Sus scrofa: one gene and its partner. The protein of the gene in region 1 interacts with the protein of each later gene in a pairwise test. Links are inferred from orthologs where the notes say so. Each region holds a gene or a part of one and is shown in the gene's direction. Other genes may lie near its edges.

Region 1 (6,052 bases):
TTTCTTTTTCTTTTTTCCTTTTTTTTTTTTTTTTTTTTTGCTTTTTAGGGCCACATTTGTGGCATGTGGAGGTTCCCAGGCTAGAAGTTGAATCGGAGCTATAGCTGCCGGTCTACGCCACAGCCATGGCAACGCCAGATCCGAGCCATGTCTTCCGACCTACACCACAGCTCACGGCAATGCCAGGATCCTAAACCCACTGAGCGGGGCCAGGAGCGAACCCGCAACCTCATGGTTCCTAGTCAGATTCCTTTCCGCTGCGCCACGATGGGATCGCCTCATTCCAGGATTTGAATCTCAGTTCCCAACTCAGCAGCCATGTGTCCCAGGACAAGTTACCAAACTTCTGAGCTTCATCTGTAAAATGGGAATAGTTGTAAAATACCAATCCAGAAGGTTGAGAAGATTAAATGAGAGACCTACCTAAGGGCAGTTAGCACTATGCCTGGCAGGTAAAATTCCCTAAATAAGTGTTAGTTATTCTTATGAGGCAATTATGGAGTGCCTCCTACACTTGATGCCTAGCCTTTGAGGAGATCTAGCATGGAACACGGACTTGTAAATCGAAAGATTACAATACAATGGGTAATACAACAGGTAGAACCATAAGAGAGATAACCTGGGAGTTCTAACACCTGGAGACTGTTAAAAGTTTTACACAGGGTAGCAGCACACTCAGAGCTATAATTGAGAAAAATACAACTTGGCAGATGTGTGCTATGCAATTAGGGGCAGCAAGACTATAGAATACCAGAGACAGGCTGTCATAGGAATACAGATATAGATATGGAATATAGAGATAGCAGTGATCGTGACGGCAGGGAGAGTAGAGGATATCCAAGGCCAGACTTAGAGAATCTGGGCAGATGACTTGAAAGCCTCAACAGAGAGGACTCCATATGTCTCCTTGACTTGGCACACTCTGGTCCCTTTGTCTTGAATGCTTTTCCCCAACTGCCATTCAATATTCAGCTCAAGCCACTGGGAAGTACTCTTGGGTTCCTCTAAAGCATGGATTAGGGGGCCCTGCTCTATGTTCCTAGAGCCCCTTGTCCTTACCCCCATCAAATGGCTTGGCATCCCTTCGTCATGGCCTGTTTCCTGGTTCCTCCCACGGGGTCTGAGAATTCCCCGAGGGAAGGGCCCAGCCTAGATGACCTCTGCGACCGAAAGGCAAACGTGGTGTCAACTGTTTGCTGAATGAATCAGTGAAAACAAGAGCTTAACAGATCTGAAAATATTCAGAAAATATTCGTCTCAGGGAACTCAGGCCCTGAGGCCACATCACCTTTTCTACTCCAATTCTGTCTCCTAGTTGCTGCCCAGAAGCACCGGGCCTTCCAGGAAATTGAAGCCTGGACTAGCCAGAACCGCGTGGCCAACAGCGCACAGACAAACTTCTGCGGACTGCTAGTTGAGGCCCCGCCCCTCGGCCCTAGACGCCGCCTCTCCACTCTCTGCAGTCCCTGTCCCCACCAGGCGGCGACGCCCAAGAGTCCGCATGCGCAGTGAGCGCGCGAGCCGCCCCTTGCCCTTCTCCCAATGGCGGGCGGCAGTCCCCTTCCCGGCATCCTCCCGGAGGCAGGGAGTACGTCATTTCCGGTGGGGAAGGCCCGCGGCCGCCGCCGCCATTTCAGGCGCTGCTGTGAAGCGGAGACCCGAGCCGGTCCGCTGGGCGGCGGGCGCCGGGACTGGAGGGGCGCGCGCGGCGGCGGCGGCCCAGCGTGTAGGCGCGGAGTCGGCCATGGCGGGCAACTTCGACTCGGAGGAGCGGAGTAGCTGGTACTGGGGGCGGCTGAGCCGGCAGGAGGCGGTGGCGCTGTTGCAGGGCCAGCGGCACGGGGTGTTCCTGGTGCGGGACTCGAGCACCAGCCCCGGGGACTATGTGCTCAGCGTCTCCGAGAACTCGCGCGTCTCCCACTACATCATCAACAGCAGCGGCCCGCGCCCGCCAGTGCCACCGTCGCCCGCCCAGCCTCCGCCCGGTGAGGGACGGAAGGGACGGGAGGCCCCGGGCGGGGGTTAGGGCCGCCGAACTCCCCAGCCTAGCCGGCTGCTCCTCGAGAGCTGACCCCCACGAGGGACTTGGGCAGCGGGCTGGAGTGACCGTGGCCGGAGGGCAGCCCGCTGTCCGGCTCGCTCCCACGGACGAGCGGGAGTGTGTGGGGGAGGAGGAGCCGCTGACCCAGGCCTCTGGGTGTGACTTGGGAGGACAGCCCAGGGGAAGGGGAACTGTTTCGGCCCCAGGGTGGGGCTAGCGCCCGTGCAGGGCCAGGCAACGTGGGGACAAAGAGCTGAGGGGGATGTTGGCACTGCGGGGGCATCACTTGGCAGCGGTGCCCGGAATGAATCCGATAATCCTACAAGTGGCTTTTTAGGCTTGAAACATTTCCTGCAGTGTTGGAGAGCCGGGTTTGGCTATACTCCCCTGGTGGCCTTTGGTAGGAAGTCACCGCATACCGGCCGGGAGGGATGGAGACACCCTCAGGAAACCGGTCAGCTTTTTCCTTTCTTGGGCATTTTTCCAAAATACTTTTACCGTCCTCTTCCCCCGCGGAGGACGAAGGTGGTGAGCTAAGTGCCTTGGTTATAGAAGAAAGGTCCCCTGTCACCAGCCCAGAATAAGCTGATGCCCGGCTGACTGTGCCGAGGAGATCCTGGTGTCCAGCGACTGTCTTTGACAATTAAGGGGTTGTAGTTTTCAAAGCGAATAGTGGAGGAAAGAATTTTTTTTTTTTTCAGGAAATAAACCAGATATACGCCAATGGAAACAATCCCTTCCCTGAAAGTGAATGGAACTTCATTTTTCCTTGGACTTCAGCATTGTCAGTCTTATACTGCAGGGTCTCTCCTTGCTCAGTAGGTTGGGGGTTGTTGCCTGAATTTTCCTAGATATGTCTGTCTTATACATAACATGGGCTGTTTGGGGAGTGTGAAGAGGATTTATGCACTTGGTACTTGAAGTTTGTGAGGTACAGAGTAATTCTGAGGCTGTTGTTACCTGTGTAACAGCACCTAGGGTCTTAGTGCCTTTTCACGCTCACCAAGCTGAAGCAGTTTCCTCCTGACCAGTTGAAACTAGATTCAGGCTAGTCTCACATGAATTGAAAGTCTCCTGAACTAGCCCTTTGCAGACTTGCCCTTTTAGAATAATCCTAATTTAGATTTATCCCCTCTGACCCGAAATGGGAAGATGAAATAGTTTCTCTTGTTAACACATACCAATTTTAAAAAGAGTGTGGAATCTTTAAGCCCACAAATTATCCTAGGTCTTTCTCAGTCTGATTGGTTTTATAACATTATAACCTGAGATGGGAATAGGTATGTAACATGTATTTACCCTAAACCGGATGTATTCGAGTTTTTACCACCTTCCTAGTGTCTGGGGTTTTGCGTTGCTGGGCAGTGACACAGCAAATGATCATTGGAACTCAATTCTTGACCTTTTGTTTGTGTATGTGTTTTGTTGGTTACAAAATTTGGAAATGGCAGGCAGTTTTGTTTGAGCTTTCCCCACATCTTGGTGTTAGAACTTTAATCTCAGATCTTACCTTAATACTGAGCTCCACCTTTTCATAACAGATAGGAGGTCAGATCCTTGGCCCAAGAGAGAAGGTGAAGATTGCCAGAGTTTGTGGATGGGGTGTGGAAAGTTCATGGCTATTGTAATTGTTCTTTCCGCCATGTACCCATTTTCCACATAGGGCAATTGATTCAGTTGCGTCTTTTTAAAGATTACTTAATCTTTGTTCTGCCCAGCCCCCATTGAGCTCTTTTTCTTTGGAAACCACACAGAAGAATTTCTTGAACTTAAGCATATACAATATTAATAGCTAACATTTATCGACTGGTCATTCTGTGCCAGGTACTTTGCTGAGTACTTTAGTGCCTTGTCTCGTTTACTGTCTATGACAGTCTAGTGAGGAAATTACTGTGATTTCCATTTATTAAAATATTTACATTTTAGGGAGTTCCAGTTGTGGCTAAGTGGATTACAAACCCTACTGGTATCCATGAGGATGCAAGTTTGATATCTGGCCTTGCTCAGTGGGTTAAGGGTCTGGCTTTGCCATGAGCTGTGGAGTAGGTCTTATTTGTGACTCAGATCCCTAGTTGCAGTGGCTGTGGCATAGGCCAGTGGCTACAGCTCTGATTTGACCCCTAGTCTGGGAACTTCCTATGCTGGGGGTGCAGCCCTAAAAAGCAAACAAAACAAAGCAAAATTCCATTTTGCAGGTAAAGAAACAGGGTCAGAAATTCAGTAACTTGCCCCAGGTCACACAGCTAGTCAATGACTGAGCCGGAATTGGAACCTAGGAATTGTGACCTGAGATCAGACACTATTGGACTGTGTTCTTTTTTTTGTCAAAGCCAGTTTCCTTTTGAGATCCCTTGAGGACTGAACACTTTTGTCATTGTCTTGGGTCCCAGGTTCTGCTTAAAGACCAAAAGGAAAGGATGACAAGAAAATGGCCTTCAAGAGTTCCCGTTGTGGTGCAGTGGTATCTATGAGGATTTGGGTTCAGTCCCTGGCCTTGCTCAGTGAGCTGGGCATCTGGCGTTGCCATGAACTGTGGTGTGGGTCGCAGAGGTGGCTCCGATCCCACGTGGCTGTGGCGTAGGCCGGCAGCTATAGCTCCAATTAGAACCCCTAGCCTGGGAACTTCCATATGCTGCGGTTGCAGCTCTAAAAAGCAAAAAAAAAAAAAAAGAAAAAGAAAGAAAGAAGATGGCATCTGCTGTCTAAAGTCAGTGATGCTGAGGCTTTTAATAACCTTTTTTGGCAGATTGAATGTGGGAAATAAGCTTTTTGTTTAGGATTATATAATGTATTTTGTGGATATAGGCATAAGATGAATTTGGATGGAATGTCTTAGATAGAGATTTTAGAGGCATAGGAACAGAATAGGCCAGGAATTCTCAACCTTTTCCTGTAAACCCATTTTTAGCTTAACTGTTTAGCTCTCCCAGGCTATCAGTGCTGCCATCGCCTGGAGGTGCCCTTACTGCTCCAGGGCCAAAGGGCAGGGCTTGGTCAAGTCTACTGGTTATACTCTGCAGGTGTACTTCTTAGGAAGGTTTTGCAATCATTGATTGATCCACTAGTTTCTTTCTTGTGGAACATGAGGTTTTTACTAGACCTTGTCCAGTAGACAATCAATAAAACTGAGTTAAGTATGAGTTAGGAGAGTAGCTAAAAGCTCGTACTCTGAAGCCCGGTTTGAACCTTCTTTGCTTGCTGCTTACTACTTAATATGACTTTGGGCAAGTTCTTTAACTTCTCTCTGCCTCAGTTTCCTCATCTGTGATGAAAGAGAGGAAATAGTAATACTGACCTCATAGGGTAGTGGTGAGGATTTTAGTGCATTACATGCTTAGGAATGGAATTAGCATGTAGTAAGTACTCAGTAAGCATTATGTGTATTAATTTATGTGGTTGAGGGGGAGGAGTTGAAGCAAAATGGGAAACTGTCCTCCTTTGAGAGGCTTGCAGCACGACTGAAGAAGTAAGTGAAGAATCCAGTACATGGAAGTAGGATGACATCTGTTACCTGCTCAACCCAGAGCTACCCACCTGTTGTCCTAGGCGTGAGGGGAGCATAAAAGCTTGCCTCATTTTGGGGTCGGGTGCAGAAGCTAGGGTGGTAATTGTTGGTGTTGGGCCAAGCCACCTCTGGAGATCCTAGGGGACTGCTCATTACCCACTGCTGCCTTTTTGTGCCTTCAGCATCTGTTTCATTTGTTTACCTCATCTTTGTAGTTCTCAAACCTGGTCTTCATGTTTCGCTCTTTAATATCAGAGTATTTCTCCATTCGGTAGGTTCGGAGTTCTAAAGTGAGTTACTTAAAGGTTTTAGCACCCCTCCCTCCAATTTTTTTTTCATCATGAAAGGAAGTAGGTTTATTTATTGCAGAACTTCTCCAAGTTTTTGCTATGCTTATGTGAAATTATGGTTCTATAAGAGAGGCAGGCATTGGATACTGGATTTTTCAAACCAATTTGACCACAGAACTTTTTGAGAAACATCTTGAATTTCTGTGGAATCTTCTT
Region 2 (5,363 bases), on another chromosome or scaffold:
TTTTGGGTTTTATTGAGTTTATACATTACTTTTTAGGGGGAGGCAATGTGGATAGTTTCTTTTGCTTTTCTTCTAAAATTAAAATGACAGGAATGTTTATATTTTAAGGATTTTTTTCTAAGTCAGGTGCATAATTTTTCATTTATACTTAGAAAAATGAGAGTCGTCAACTCACTCAGATCCAGTATATAGCCTGGCCTGACCATGGGGTCCCTGATGATTCAAGTGACTTTCTGGATTTTGTTTGTCATGTACGAAATAAGAGGGCCGGCAAGGAAGAACCTATTGTTGTTCATTGCAGGTATTTTATTTTCTGTCTTTTATGATTAACTGACTAAAATATGTCTCTTTTTTCTTTTTGACTGCCCCTGCAGCATACAGACGTTCCCGGGCCATGGATCAAACCTGAACCACAGCAGTGACAACACCAGATCCTTAACCTGCTGAGCCACACAGGAGTTCCTACATACATCGTTTTTTGTAAAAGGAATACCTCTTTTATTTTTTCTTTAAGCTGTTGTTGTCACTCTAATAATTAGAGAGAACTCAGAGTTATGCTCTGAAGGTAGGAGGCAAAGGGTATGTTTTAACATATGATTGGCAGGAATTTTATCATGAGTAAAAATAATACCACATTGACTCTTAGAAGTTTGTCTTTTTTATAGTTCAACATCTCTGAAATTGAGTTACGTCTTAAAATTAATGGTATCTCAGATTTGATGAAATACAAAATTGTAGGAATTTGGTTGCTGTCCAAAGTTTATATTTCTCCCTCCAGCAAGGTACTCCTTCCTGGCCCCTTTTAGGACATTTGGTGAGCATCTCACCTGTCTTGAAATGGCTCTGCCCAGTGCCATCACAGGGTCTGCCACTTCCAAGAGCTCCCAGTGAACAGTAGCAGACCACTCCCTTCCTTGCAGACTCAGGCCTCCTTCTGCCCCCAATGGACCAAATACAATGACTCTAGCCTTACTGCCACTGACCCAGAGATTGAGATCCAGAAATTACTTTCTCCTCATCCTGATCACCTTTATTACTAAGTGCTTTATTCAGAGGATGTATTAAGGTATCTGCTTATTCTTAAACTTTCCAACACTTTTTAAGAGCAGATTGTAGACCAAATATATGAGAGGCAAAATGCAGGAATGGTGGACACATTTGGCCATTTCATATCCTTAGTCCCCGTCGCTACTGTATCCACCTTCACAGAGAATACTTCACAGAGTTGTTCTTAACTATCTCAGTGGTAAATCAAAATTAAATTTGGCTTTAAAAACTGATTTTTTGAGTGTGTAAAATAGCTGTCTTTTGCATGCTTGTTAATGATTTATTATTGTAATTCTTACTTTGCATTTTAAAGCTTCTGTACTTTGTTCACCTTTTAAAAACTGAAATGTAACTCTTTTAAAATTGTGTTTTAAAACCAAGAGTGGGAGAGAGTGTAGATACAAACCATTTAATCTGTATTTAGTGTGAATTTTATTTTGGTTTTCAAAATAGTTTCCAGTTGGCTTGCTACTTTTGTTACTCTAAAATATTAAAACTAAATAATTCTTCTACCATAATATGATTTGGTACTCTAATTTTCTTCACAAAAAGCACAAGAAGTTTAACAGAACAGTATGAGTAAGATTTTGTCCCACATTTGTCTTTTCTAGTGCTGGTATTGGAAGAACTGGGGTTCTTATTACTATGGAAACAGCCATGTGTCTCATTGAATGCAATCAACCAGTTTATCCACTAGATATTGTAAGAACAATGAGAGATCAGCGAGCCATGATGATTCAAACACCTGTAAGTACTACATATTTCTTTTTTTTTTTTTTTTTTGTCTTTTTGCCATTTCTTGGGCCGCTCCTGCGACATATGGAGGTTCCCGGGCTAGGGGTCGAATCTGAGCTGTAGCCGCCAGCCTACGCCAGAGCCACAGCAACGCAGGATCCAAGCCGCGTCTGTGACCTACACCACAGCTCACGGCAACGCCAGAACCTTGACCCACTGAGCAAGGGCAGGGATCGAACCCGAAACTCATGGTTCCTAGTCGGATTCGTTAACCACTGCGCCACGACGGGAACTCCGGTACTACATATTTCACATGCATTTCACATGTGTTTTCAACATGACTTTTGTTGTCAATGTATATGCCAAACCACATTTTTCTCTTTTTAATTCCCTGCCAGAAGCTAATAACCCCATGGAGTTCCCGTCGTGGCGCAGTGGTTAACGAATCCGACTAGGAACCATGAGGTTGCGGGTTCGATCCCTGCCCTTGCTCAGTGGGTTAACGATCCGGCGTTGCCGTGAGCTGTGGTGTAGGTTGCAGACGCGGCTCAGATCCCGCGTTGCTGTGGCTCTGGCGTAGGCCGGTGGCTACAGCTCCAATTCAACCCCTAGCCTGGGAACCTCCATATGCCGCGGGAGCGGCCCAAGAAATAGCAACAACAACAACAACAAAAGACAAAAAAAAAAAAAAAAAAAAGAAGCTAATAACCCTTGCACAGAGATCAGCCAATACTGCCCACCAGCCGAAACTGGCCTACCACTTGTTGTGTTTTGTTTTGTTTTGTTTTTTTTGTCTTTTTGTCTTTTGTTGTTGTTGTTGTTGTTGCTGCTATTGCTATTTCTTGGGCCGCTCCCGCGGCATATGGAGGTTCCCAGGCTAGGGGTCCAATCGGAGCTGTAGCCACCGGCCTACGCCAGAGCCACAGCAACGCGGGATCCGAGCCACGTCTGCAACCTACACCACAGCTCATGGCAACGCCGGATCGTTAACCCACTGAGCAAGGGCAGGGACCGAACCCGCAACCTCATGGTTCCTAGTCGGATTCGTTAACCACTGCGCCACGACGGGAACTCCCCCACTTGTTTTTTAATAAATAAAGTTTTATTGGAAACAGCTATAGTCATTTGTTCACATAATATCTATGTTGCTTTCACATTACAGCAGCCGAGGTGAGAAGTTGCAGCAGGCACTATGTGCTTTGCAAAACCTAAAAAATTAGTTATAGTAAATAAATATTACTCTAACTATAGTAAATAACTGGATAGTAAGTAACTGTCTAGTCTTTTACATAAAATGTTTGTCAACACCATGCTAGCATGTTAATTCTTGACTGCCTAAACAGGGGTAACAGAGGAACTTGCCCTGTGTTATCAGTCAAATGGAATGCTAAGAACAGTGGTATCCCTAAACTGGAGAATCTTGATAGACCTGCTTTCAGTGAAACAGCTGTGGTGAAATTGCCTTTCTTATTTTACATAAGAACTTAAATTGCAACAATAAAAATCATAGAAATTAAGCTACTTACTATATTCTGTACTGACTTTGAAATATGTCCCAAGAATTGGAAGAGGAATCATGAAATTTAGAGTTAATGTTAAAAAAATTTTTTTTAATTTTTCAGGCCATACCCATGGCATATGAAAATACCTGGGCTAGGGGTGCAATCAGAGCTGCAGCTGCCGACCTACACCACAGCCAGAGCAACGTCTGCAACCTACACCACAGGTCACAGCAAAGCTGGATCTTAAATCCACTGAACAAGGCGAGGGATCAAACCCGTATCCTCCTGGATACCAGTCGGGTTGTTCACTGGCCGAACTACATTAGGAACTCCAAGATTGTCTTCTATATTAAGCCAATGTGGAATATTAGCATTGTTGGTGGCATTATGGTTTCTGAAGTGAATTGACATATGTGATCTAATAGGTGCCTGTCATTATTTTTAGCTTTTAATTATAGAAAATACAAACATACACAAAAATAGACAATAAGATATAGTGGACACTACTTTGAATGTTTCCTTTATACTGCCACTTAACTCTCCCCATATTTGAACCAAATCCTAGACATCGTATATATTTTATATTTATTTGTCTATATTTTAATGTTTATCTCCAAAAGAAAAGGAGTATTTTTTCCTTCTAAACAAAACCATAATACCATTATCATACCAAATTATAATTAACAATAATTCCCTAATATTAGCAATAACCAATATTCCAATTTATAATTGTTTCATATAAATCATTTCTTTTAAAATTTTAGTATAGCTTTATTAAAATATAATTCACATACCCATAAAATTCACCCTTTTAAAGTGTACAGTTCATTGGTTTTCACAGTATATCACAGAGCTTTGCAACCATCATTGCTATCTAATTTTAAAACATTTTCAACAGCCCCCAAAAGACACTCTGTATCCATATTCCCCCATACCTTCCCCAGCCTTCCCCTAACCCAGCCTAGACAACTGTTAATCTACTTTCTGTCTCTGTAGGTTTGCCTCTTTTAGACCTTTCATATGAATGGAATCCTATAATTTGTTCTTTTGTAATTGACTTATTTTAATTAGCATACTATTAAAAGGTTTATATATTCCATAGCATATATCAGTACTTCATTCCTTTTTCATTGAATAGATATACCATACATTCATCTATTGATGGACATTTGGATTATTTCCAGTTTCTAACTATTATGAATAATGGTGCCATTAACATTGTGTAATGTTTTTGTGTGAAAATGTTTTCATTCCTCTTTGGTATATACCCAGTAGTGGAATTGCTGGGTGCTATAATAACTCTCTTTAATCTTGTTTCTATAAATTTATTCTTAAGTTTTTTAGTCTTTTTTGGTCCTATTGTAAGTGGACTTGTTTTCTTAATTTCATATTAGGAGTACTCATTGCTTGGGTATAGAAATAAAACTAATTTTGCATATTGATCATGTATACTGCAACCTTGCTGAAATTATTTATTAAGTCTAATAATTTTTTGCATATGTGAAAGATTCCTTAGGATTCTTTATATACAAGATCATATCATTTGTAAATATAGTTTATTATTTCCTTTGCAGCATAGATACCTTGGTTTTCTTTTTTTTTCTTTTCACCTCATTTCATCTTGTCTCATCTCTTTTCTTCATCTTGTGCAAGTGTCCTGACAAGAACCTTCAGTACAGCGTGAAATAGAAGTGGTGATACCAGCCATCCTTGTCTTATTCCTGATCTTAGGGGGGCAGTTTTCTGTTTTTCACCACTAAGTATCATGTTAGCCATGGATTTTTTTCATTATTGCCCTTTATCAAGTTGAGAAAGTTCCCTGTCTTACTAGTTTGTGTTTTCATAAGGAAAGGGTATTCAGTTTTAACAAATACTTGTTCTGTGTCTATTGAGATGATCATGTGATTTGTGTCTTTTATTCTATTAATGTAGTGTATTAGACTGATTTTTTGGCTGTTAAACTAACCTTGCATTCCTGAGATAAGTCTTACTTGGACATGGTGTATAATTCTTTTTATGTGTTGCTTCACTTGATGTGCTATTATTTTCTTGAGGTCTTTATATCTGTATCCACACATA

The links. The genes of interacting proteins can lie anywhere in the genome.
Region 2: the proteins of CRK (region 1) and PTPN4 interact in binary tests that used the Homo sapiens proteins (3 or more experiments, as listed by UniProt). The link is inferred for Sus scrofa from reciprocal best matches to the Homo sapiens genes CRK and PTPN4.

What each region holds. Positions count from the first base shown.
Region 1 is NC_010454.4:47,681,172-47,687,223, reverse strand, and holds the start of CRK (adapter molecule crk), read left to right. Parts: upstream 1-2,027; 5' UTR 2,028-2,792; coding exon 2,793-2,859; intron 2,860-6,052. Other genes in the region: uncharacterized protein LOC110255905, read left to right, coding at 1,316-1,512. UniProt on the Homo sapiens protein: Involved in cell branching and adhesion mediated by BCAR1-CRK-RAPGEF1 signaling and activation of RAP1.
Region 2 is NC_010457.5:31,316,855-31,322,217, reverse strand, and holds part of PTPN4 (tyrosine-protein phosphatase non-receptor type 4), read left to right. Parts: intron 1-152; coding exon 153-301; intron 302-1,658; coding exon 1,659-1,794; intron 1,795-5,363. UniProt on the Homo sapiens protein: Phosphatase that plays a role in immunity, learning, synaptic plasticity or cell homeostasis. Regulates neuronal cell homeostasis by protecting neurons against apoptosis.